Linked DNA regions of Xenopus tropicalis. The protein of the gene in region 1 interacts with the protein of each later gene in a biochemical or structural test. Links are inferred from orthologs where the notes say so. Each region holds a gene or a part of one and is shown in the gene's direction. Other genes may lie near its edges. The genes, in order: plxnd1 and sema4a.

The links.
Region 2: the proteins of plxnd1 (region 1) and sema4a form a complex in vitro, tested with the Homo sapiens proteins (2 studies listed by IntAct, with this or other methods). The link is inferred for Xenopus tropicalis from reciprocal best matches to the Homo sapiens genes PLXND1 and SEMA4A.

The regions. Positions count from the first base shown.
Region 1 is NC_030680.2:132,018,591-132,022,972, reverse strand, and holds the start of plxnd1 (plexin-D1), read left to right. Parts: upstream 1-1,468; 5' UTR 1,469-1,731; coding exon 1,732-2,868; intron 2,869-4,382. UniProt on the Homo sapiens protein: Cell surface receptor for SEMA4A and for class 3 semaphorins, such as SEMA3A, SEMA3C and SEMA3E. Plays an important role in cell-cell signaling, and in regulating the migration of a wide spectrum of cell types.
Region 2 is NC_030684.2:142,870,503-142,874,785, reverse strand, and holds the start of sema4a (semaphorin-4A), read left to right. Parts: upstream 1-1,275; 5' UTR 1,276-1,413; coding exon 1,414-1,483; intron 1,484-3,994; coding exon 3,995-4,144; intron 4,145-4,283. UniProt on the Homo sapiens protein: Cell surface receptor for PLXNB1, PLXNB2, PLXNB3 and PLXND1 that plays an important role in cell-cell signaling. Regulates glutamatergic and GABAergic synapse development.

The DNA.
Region 1 (4,382 bases):
TGTAGGAAGCATTGCACCGACAGATGCAGGGAGTTGTAGCTGAGTAAAAGAAGCCGTAGGAAGCATTGCACAGACAGATGCCGGGAGTTGTAGCTGAGTAAAAGAAGCTGTAGGAAGCATTGCACCGACAGATGCAGGGAGTTGTAGCTGAGTAAAAGAAGCCGTAGGAAGCATTGCACAGACAGATGCAGGGAGTTGCACAGACAGATGCCGGGAGTTGTAGCTGAGTAAAAGAAGCCGTAGGAAGCATTGCACAGACAGATGCAGGGAGTTGCACAGACAGATGCCGGGAGTTGTAGCTGAGTAAAAGAAGCTGTAGGAAGCATTGCATAGACAGATGCAGGGAGTTGCACAGACAGATGCCGGGAGTTGTAGCTGAGTAAAAGAAGCTGTAGGAAGCATTGCGCAGACAGATGCAGGGAGTTGTAGCTGAGTAAAAGAAGCCGTAGGAAGCATTGCGCAGACAGATGCAGGGAGTTGCACAGACAGATGCCGGGAGTTGTAGCTGAGTAAAAGAAGCCGTAGGAAGCATTGCGCAGACAGATGCAGGGAGTTGCACAGACAGATGCCGGGAGTTGTAGCTGAGTAAAAGAAGCTGTAGGAAGCATTGCATAGACAGATGCAGGGAGTTGCACAGACAGATGCCGGGAGTTGTAGCTGAGTAAAAGAAGCCGTAGGAAGCATTGCACAGACAGATGCCGGGAGTTGCGCAGACAGATGCAGGGAGTTGCACAGACAGATGCCGGGAGTTGTAGCTGAGTAAAAGAAGCTGTAGGAAGCATTGCATAGACAGATGCAGGGAGTTGCACAGACAGATGCCGGGAGTTGTAGCTGAGTAAAAGAAGCTGTAGGAAGCATTGCATAGACAGATGCAGGGAGTTGCACAGACAGATGCCGGGAGTTGTAGCTGAGTAAAAGAAGCTGTAGGAAGCATTGCATAGACAGATGCAGGGAGTTGCGCAGACAGATGCAGGGAGTTGCACAGACAGATGCCGGGAGTTGTAGCTGAGTAAAAGAAGCTGTAGGAAGCATTGCATAGACAGATGCAGGGAGTTGCACAGACAGATGCCGGGAGTTGCGCAGACAGATGCCGGGAGTTGTAGCAAACCAAGCAGAAGCTTCAGGCTGTATTATAGGTGATACATTGACTCCCACCAGGTATATTCCCTGGGGTCCTAAACCAATGAGGAAAGCTGTAATGGGGTTCGGGGGTAAAGGCAATGAATGGGGGACAGGCTGAGAGAGAGAGAGACAGAGAGAGAGAGGGAGAGAGAGAGAGGGGGGGGGAGAGAGAGAGCTCGGCAGTCAGGGAGACGGAGAGAGGAAGCAGAGAAGCAGCATCAGTTGAGTGAAAGTTGTGCCGCCGGGAGGAGGGAGGAATCAGTAGGAGGGTCGGAGCTGGGGGGGGGGGAGACAGGGAGGCATCAGTAACTAGCGAGGAGTAACATCCTGGCAGCAACGGAGAGGGAGCCGGAGAAGGGCAGTGGGACAGAGGGGAGGGAGAGACAGGAGGCACAGGGCTGGCACAGGGGGCAAGGGACGCGGGGTATTATAGCACAAGGGGAGCCAAAGGGATGCGCAGCGGGAACAAGAGCTGAAGGATCGGCACCCACATCCCCTCAACGGCACCCATATCCCCGCACCCACATCCCAGCACCCATATCCCCGCACCCACATCCCAGCACCCTTATCCCAGCACCCATATCCCAGCACCCATATCCATGCCCACTGATGGCTGCAGCTGTCCTGCTCCTGTCGCTGGTGGCATTGGCCTCAGGGCTAGAGTTGGTCAGTAAGTTCCACTCTCCGCAGGTCACTAATAACTTTGCGCTGAGCGCCGGGGAGGGGCTGTTGTACCTGGCGGCGGTGAATCGCCTCTACCAGCTGAACTGGGAGCTGCGGCCGGAGCTGGAGGATGTTACCGGGCCGGTACCGGACTCCCCGTTGTGCCATGCTCCGCAATTGCGAGAAACCACCTGTGACTTCCCCCGGACCTCAACCCCGAACTACAATAAAATCCTACTACCCGACCCGGAGCAGGGGCTGCTACTGACCTGCGGATCTATCTTCCAGGGGCTGTGTGAGCTCCGCGCCCTGCGGAACATAACGCTCCGCGCAGTGCCCTTCCCTGTGGATAACGCGGTGCCCAGCATGCTCAATGTAGCTGCCAACCACCCCAACGCTTCCACCGTAGGGTTACTGCTTCGGGGGCCCAGTGGGGACACCAAGCTGCTTGTGGGCGCTACATACACCGGATACTCCAGCCAGTTCTTTCCCTGGAACCAAAGTATCGCTGACCATCGATTTGAGAACAGCCCTGAGATTTCAATCCGGGCCCTGAACCTGACCGCCTCCGAGAAGCTTTTCACTTTTGACATCAGTCCGTCCGATGACAACATATTCAAGGTAAAGCAGAGCTTTAAGGCCCGGCATCGCCTGGGGTTTGTCAGGGCATTCCAGCAGGGACCATTCGCGTACCTGGCCATGAACGTGGAACCCGCCCCTGCGGGGAAGGAGAACCGACCCAGTAGTGTTTTAGCGCGGATCTGTCTGAAGTCTGAGCCTAGAACAGAGCCGCGCAAACTCACAGAGTCCTACATCCAATTGGGACTGCGCTGCGAAGGCCCAGGAGGGGTGCTGTATGGTCGCCTGCTGTCAGTGTTCGCGGAGTCGGAAAACATATTCGGGATATTCGAGGGGAAAAATGAGGCGGCGCTCTGTATGTTCCCGCTGCGCTCGGTGGCGCAGGAGATACGCGGGGCGCGGAGGGGCTGCTTTGAGAGTCAGGACGCGGGGGAAGTGACTGTGTTGGACAGTGTGGTGCAGGGGACTGGCCCCAGCTGCGAACGCAGGAACGCCAAGGTCAAGGTTAGTGTTTATAATTATACATTATTTCTCTTGCATGAAATTGGGTATGATTATGGGGCTTACTGAGGAGGGCATTTCCAATCTTTGTTGTTTGCTGAGAGTTGTAGTTGCAGTCAAGAATACTATCCCCCTATCTGTAGGGGATACTGACAGTAAGATTTCTTTGTGCCCAGAGAATGTACTACATGCCAGTCCTTACTTGCCATGACTGCAGGTTCCACAGCCCCTTATACCAAACTATATATGTGATACATTGATATACATAGTCAGAACCCACAGTGCTTCATTCCCAGACACAGGTGCTTGGCAGGTTCCATCATCAGAAATCTGCAGTTTCAGGCCTTATTGCAAAGGAACATTTAGGGGCCACAGACCCAGAACCTGCACAGATTGGAGAGGGGGTTTAGAGCAGCTCTGAGTTCTGATTATTGTACCCTCTTACCCTTTATATATATATATCTATCACTGACATTCTCCTTCGTCCGTTACTCCTTTACTGCACCAGTGGAGCTTACAATCTAAGGTGCCTGTCACATTCACATACACTATAGTCAGTTTAATCGGGGGCCTGTATGTATTTGTAGTGTGGGAGGAAACCTGAGTACCCAGCGCTGGTTTAATACCTGCTGTTCCCTAGGCATGTCCCTCCCCCACACACACTTGTACCCAACTGTGCAATCAGTTTGGATTGGGATGTGCAGTAATGGGCTGTGGAGTTACAAAAAGAGTTGAATATTTTTTCTCTATATAGGTACTGGGGCCCAACCCTTACGCTGCTGCTCTAGGCCCGTGCCCTTAGGTGCCTATATAAATAAATATAACCCTGGGAGTACCCGGAGAGGACCCGATGATGGGGATCACCCCCTGAAACATATATTGATAGAATATGAATTGTACTGGAGAAACCCAAAGGAGTATGGGGAGCCCATACAAATTCCCCGCAGATAGCAGGGCCAATCACAGCCCTTTCCCTGTAACATTTTCCTGTAAGCTACGCCAGGCTAGTGGCTGCCCGCTGACAAGATGGGGTTGGTGGCACCCTACAAGGCAAGGTATTGGGTGCTACTGGCTCCTTTTGGGATGATTTTTAATGAATCAGCGCAAAAGGGGATTTTTAAAGGGTACATTACTTGTAATACAAATGACTCCCTATCCCTAAACCATTCCTCATGTATATATATATATATATAGAGCAGTGTATGCAATACTGTTTCCTGGGTGCCATGCAATTACAATTACAAATGTACCATTAAAGCCTTGGCAGTGTTTACTGAACATATACTGCAAAATGACATTGAATTCCATTTTCATTCATTAGCCAAAAAAAGCAGATTTTGGGTGAATATCCCCTTTAAGTGAATATTTTTCCCCCCCCCAATGACTTTCCATCCGAGTGTGCGTGGGCGTCGGAGCTTAATAAATACAGGAGCGATGCGATACTGACGCTCATCCAAAAACACCTTGTCATTCACTGAGTGATGAGCTGTCGTTGCCTGGCGCTCACATGGCAGGTT
Region 2 (4,283 bases), on another chromosome or scaffold:
TCATTATCTGAAAAATCTGGGGTGGCAAAGAGTCTCCTCCTTTCCCAAAACTGTAAGGGATTTACCGCTATAGTCTCACCCCCTGCCTGTATTGTCTCCACCTCTACCTGGGCTCCCTGTCCCTGCTGAGCTCCACTCCTGTCTGGGCGCTGACCAGCCTCTGATCTGCCTCCATTCTGTGTCCCTTGCTCTGCCTCCCTGATTGGCCTTCCAACATTAACCCTTTGTGTGACTGCCACTTGTCCATCACACTCAGCATTCACTTCCCCCACAGACTCACTCTGCACCTCACTCTCTCCATGTTCCTCAGTCACCCCCACAGGTACTTGCACCCCCACAGGTACTTGCACCCCCACAGGTACTTGCCCCACCACAGGTACTTGCCCCACCACAGGTACTTGCCCCACCACAGGTACTTGCACCACCCCCTGAGGAACAGAAGGTACTTCCATGTTGCTGCGAGTAGATGGTTCCCCTTCTGGCTCACAAGGATTCTCCCAGGGACTGGGCTTGGGCGGTGCTGGTGGGCTCGCTGGGCTCTTTCCCTCTGCTGTGGGCAATGCTGGGAAGTCTTGGTCAGACCCAATCGCATAGGTTGCTTCGACGTCTGCGGTGACTTGCGGGACATTCACTTTGAAACTTTTTTGCTCCTGCTTTTTTCTCTCCTGCTCTTCCAGCTCCTTCTCACTGAAAGCCATATTTTGCCAGTTCACTTTCTCCTTTCCCCTCTGTCTCCGGGGAGGCAAAGGTTTGGTGAATTCCGTGTCACTCTCTGAGCTGGTGGCACTGTTTGAGGTTCTTGAGTGCCTGACAGTCTGTACATTGTACCTCCTGCGTGTGGCTTGGTAGGAAGGCTGCATTGCGTCAAATCTCTGTTTGTTCTGATACACTTCCTTCCATGGCCCGACTTCCTGAAATAATGTCTGTATCCTGGATTCCACATCAGACAGTTCTCTACACAATGCATCTTTCTTTTGCTTTGTAGCCACTTTGTGTTTCTCATCAGACACGGCAAATAAGTTAACAAGACATTTAATAGACAGTTGCAACTTCTTTTTCTCATTCTGAAGAGCTGCTAATTCATTTAGAGCTTCCGCAACTCTTTCTGCTGTTATGGGCTGATTTTTATTTTTTTTCCTGCTTGTGCTCTTTACTTCCCCTTCAAACCGGCTCTCCCCCTCTGTATCCATAGCAGACGATTCCCCTTCACTTGCTGCCATGTGAATGTGCTGCTTCACAGTATGAGGCTTTTGCACCTGAGCTGCCTGCTCACCTAGACGACTTGCACCTGTGTTGTTAACCCCTTCAGCACCTGCCTGCTTTAGCTGCTTGTGGAGTGCTGCTGACTGCTTGCTTTCATGGCTATTCCCTGCTGTATTTACCTCTGCGGTGCCAGTGCCCCTGCCAGCACTGATGGGACTCTCAGCTTCAGCTTTGCCAGCGGGCACCATGTTGGACACTAGCGGTTCCTCTGCAGAAGAAGGTAAGTTCTTACCAGCAGTTTGTTCACCCTTGTGGCCCAAAACCTGACAGGCTCCCTCCTCAGACTCTGCAGATATTGGGTTTGGCACCAAGTCTGGAACGGAAGGACTGCCGGGCATCTTTGTTGCTCGCGTTCTGGTACCATCTGACGGTGCTCTGTGCAGTTCAGCCGCATCTTCGGCTGCACTCACTCCAGCCTCCACAGCCTTAGCTGTACCTGCAGGCATTGCTGGCTGCCCTGCTGTTTCTGGGGTTTAGTACTCACAGGTTTCTTTGGTGTTTGCTTTGCCTTCTCATTTTGCTTTCCTTTTGGTTTGGGGGTTGTTGAAGGGGTGGAGGGGGGACCTTCAGAGGAAGAAAATCCTTCACAAGCTGCTCCACGCCGAAGCCCAACTTCCTGATCTCTTGCAACCTGTACATTCTTTTGCTTTAGTTTTCTGGCCTCTTGCACAGTTTTCTCTACCTCCATATCACTGTCGCTGCTGTTCCTCCTCCTAGTAGATCTAGGGGTTCCCAGCGAAGATGACCTTAGTTTTGGCCTTGAAATTTCAGCACATGGGCTAGGCCCCAAAGCCTGGGCCTCAGATTTGCGAGGAGCTCTACCAGCCCTAGCAGGGCCTGGGCTTGCTCCAGACATGGACGAGCTCTATCAGACACACCCTCTTCCTATGGGGATCAGATAGGATCTGTGCCACTGTGACAGAATGCTCTGTTATACAGATAGCTAGAATCTCAGCCATAAAGCAGGGCAGGACTGCTGCTTACAATGGGGGGATCAGATAGGATCTGTGCCACTGTGACAGAATGCTCTGTTATACAGATAGCTAGAATCTCAGCCATAAAGCAGGGCAGGACTGCTGCTTACAATGGGGGGATCAGATAGGATCTGTGCCACTGTGACAGAATGCTCTGTTATACAGATAGCTAGAATCTCAGCCATAAAGCAGGGCAGGACTGCTGCTTACAATGGGGGGATCAGATAGGATCTGTGCCACTGTGACAGAATGCTCTGTTATACAGATAGCTAGAATCTCAGCCATAAAGCAGGGCAGGACTGCTGCTTACAATGGGGGGGGATCAGATAGGATCTGTGCCACTGTGACAGAATGCTCTGTTATACAGATAGCTAGAATCTCAGCCATAAAGCAGGGCAGGACTGCTGCTTACAATGGGGGATCAGATAGGATCTGTGCCACTGTGACAGAATGCTCTGTTATACAGATAGCTAGAATCTCAGCCATAAAGCAGGGCAGGACTGCTGCTTACAATGGGGGGGGGGGGGGGGGATCAGATAGGATCTGTGCCACTGTGACAGAATGCTCTGTTATACAGATAGCTAGAATCCCAGCCATAAAGCAGGGCAGGACTGCTGCTTTATGGCTGTGTCGAGAGTCAGAACTAGCCATGAGTGGGGGAGGTCAGAATTGATCAGTAGATCCCTATTCATACAGAAAGTGAAGAACGGGACCCCCCCCATCCGGCCACATTATCTGTTGCACTTCCCACTGCCAGATATCGGTTCCGCCGCTGCCCTGCAGAACTCGGAACACTGACCTGTTTCTGTCACATGACTCACTGAAACTTGTATATTATGATAAATAAAGTGCCCCCTGTTGTAGAATATAAGGATTTTAGAAGTCACCTTGGATTTCCATGACAAGGGCCTCGTGCTTTTATATGGCTGTGGAGCCCCTCTGTGCCTTATAATATCCTTATATGTTACAATAGGGGGTACTTTATTCAGTATATATTATAAGGAACTCCTCGGGGGCTTATAATATCCCTATATGTTACAATAGGGGGCACTTTATTCAGTATATATTATAAGGAACCCCTCTGTGCCTTATAATATCCTTATATGTTACAATAGGGGGCACTTTATTCACTATATATTATAAGGAACTCCTCGGGGGCTTATAATATCCCTATATGTTACAATAGGGGGCACTTTATTCACTATATATTATAAGGAACTCCTCGGGGGCTTATAATATCCTTATATGTTACAATAGGGGGCACTTTATTCACTATATATTATAAGGAACTCCTCGGGGGCTTATAATATCCCTATATGTTACAATAGGGGGCACTTTATTCACTATATATTATAAGGAACCCCTCGGGGACTTATAATATCCCTATATGTTACAATAGGGGGTACTTTATTCACTATATATTATAAGGAACTCCTCGGGGGCTTATAATATCCCTATATGTTACAATAGGGGGCACTTTATTCACTATATATTATAAGGAACCCCTCGGGGACTTATAATATCCCTATATGTTACAATAGGGGGCACTTTATTCACTATATATTATAAGGAACCCCTCGGGGACTTATAATATCCCTATATGTTACAATAGGGGGTACTTTATTCACTATATATTATAAGGAACCCCTCTGTGCCTTATAATATCCCTATATGTTACAACAGGGGGTACTTTATTCACTGTATATATATATATCAGTATGGGGGTGCCCCTGACTCCTGTCCCTGTGTGTTGGCAGTGCCCGGGGAGCGTTGGCATCGGGGGACGGTGAGTAGAGAAGGCCAAGCCATGCCCACGTGGAAGCGCTGTTGGGGGCTGCTCCTGGCGCTCCTGGCGTTGCTGCCCTGTTTGCCCTCCGACCTGGTTCCCAGGATCACATTCAGGCACGGTGAGTGGTGGGATGGGGGGGCGGGGTTAGGGGGGGTGGGATTCAGGGCAGGGGGTGGGGTCACAGCATGGTACCTTCCTTGCCCATAACATTCCACTTCCCAAGAACAATGTGGCCCCAACCTGCCCGTTCTTGCCCC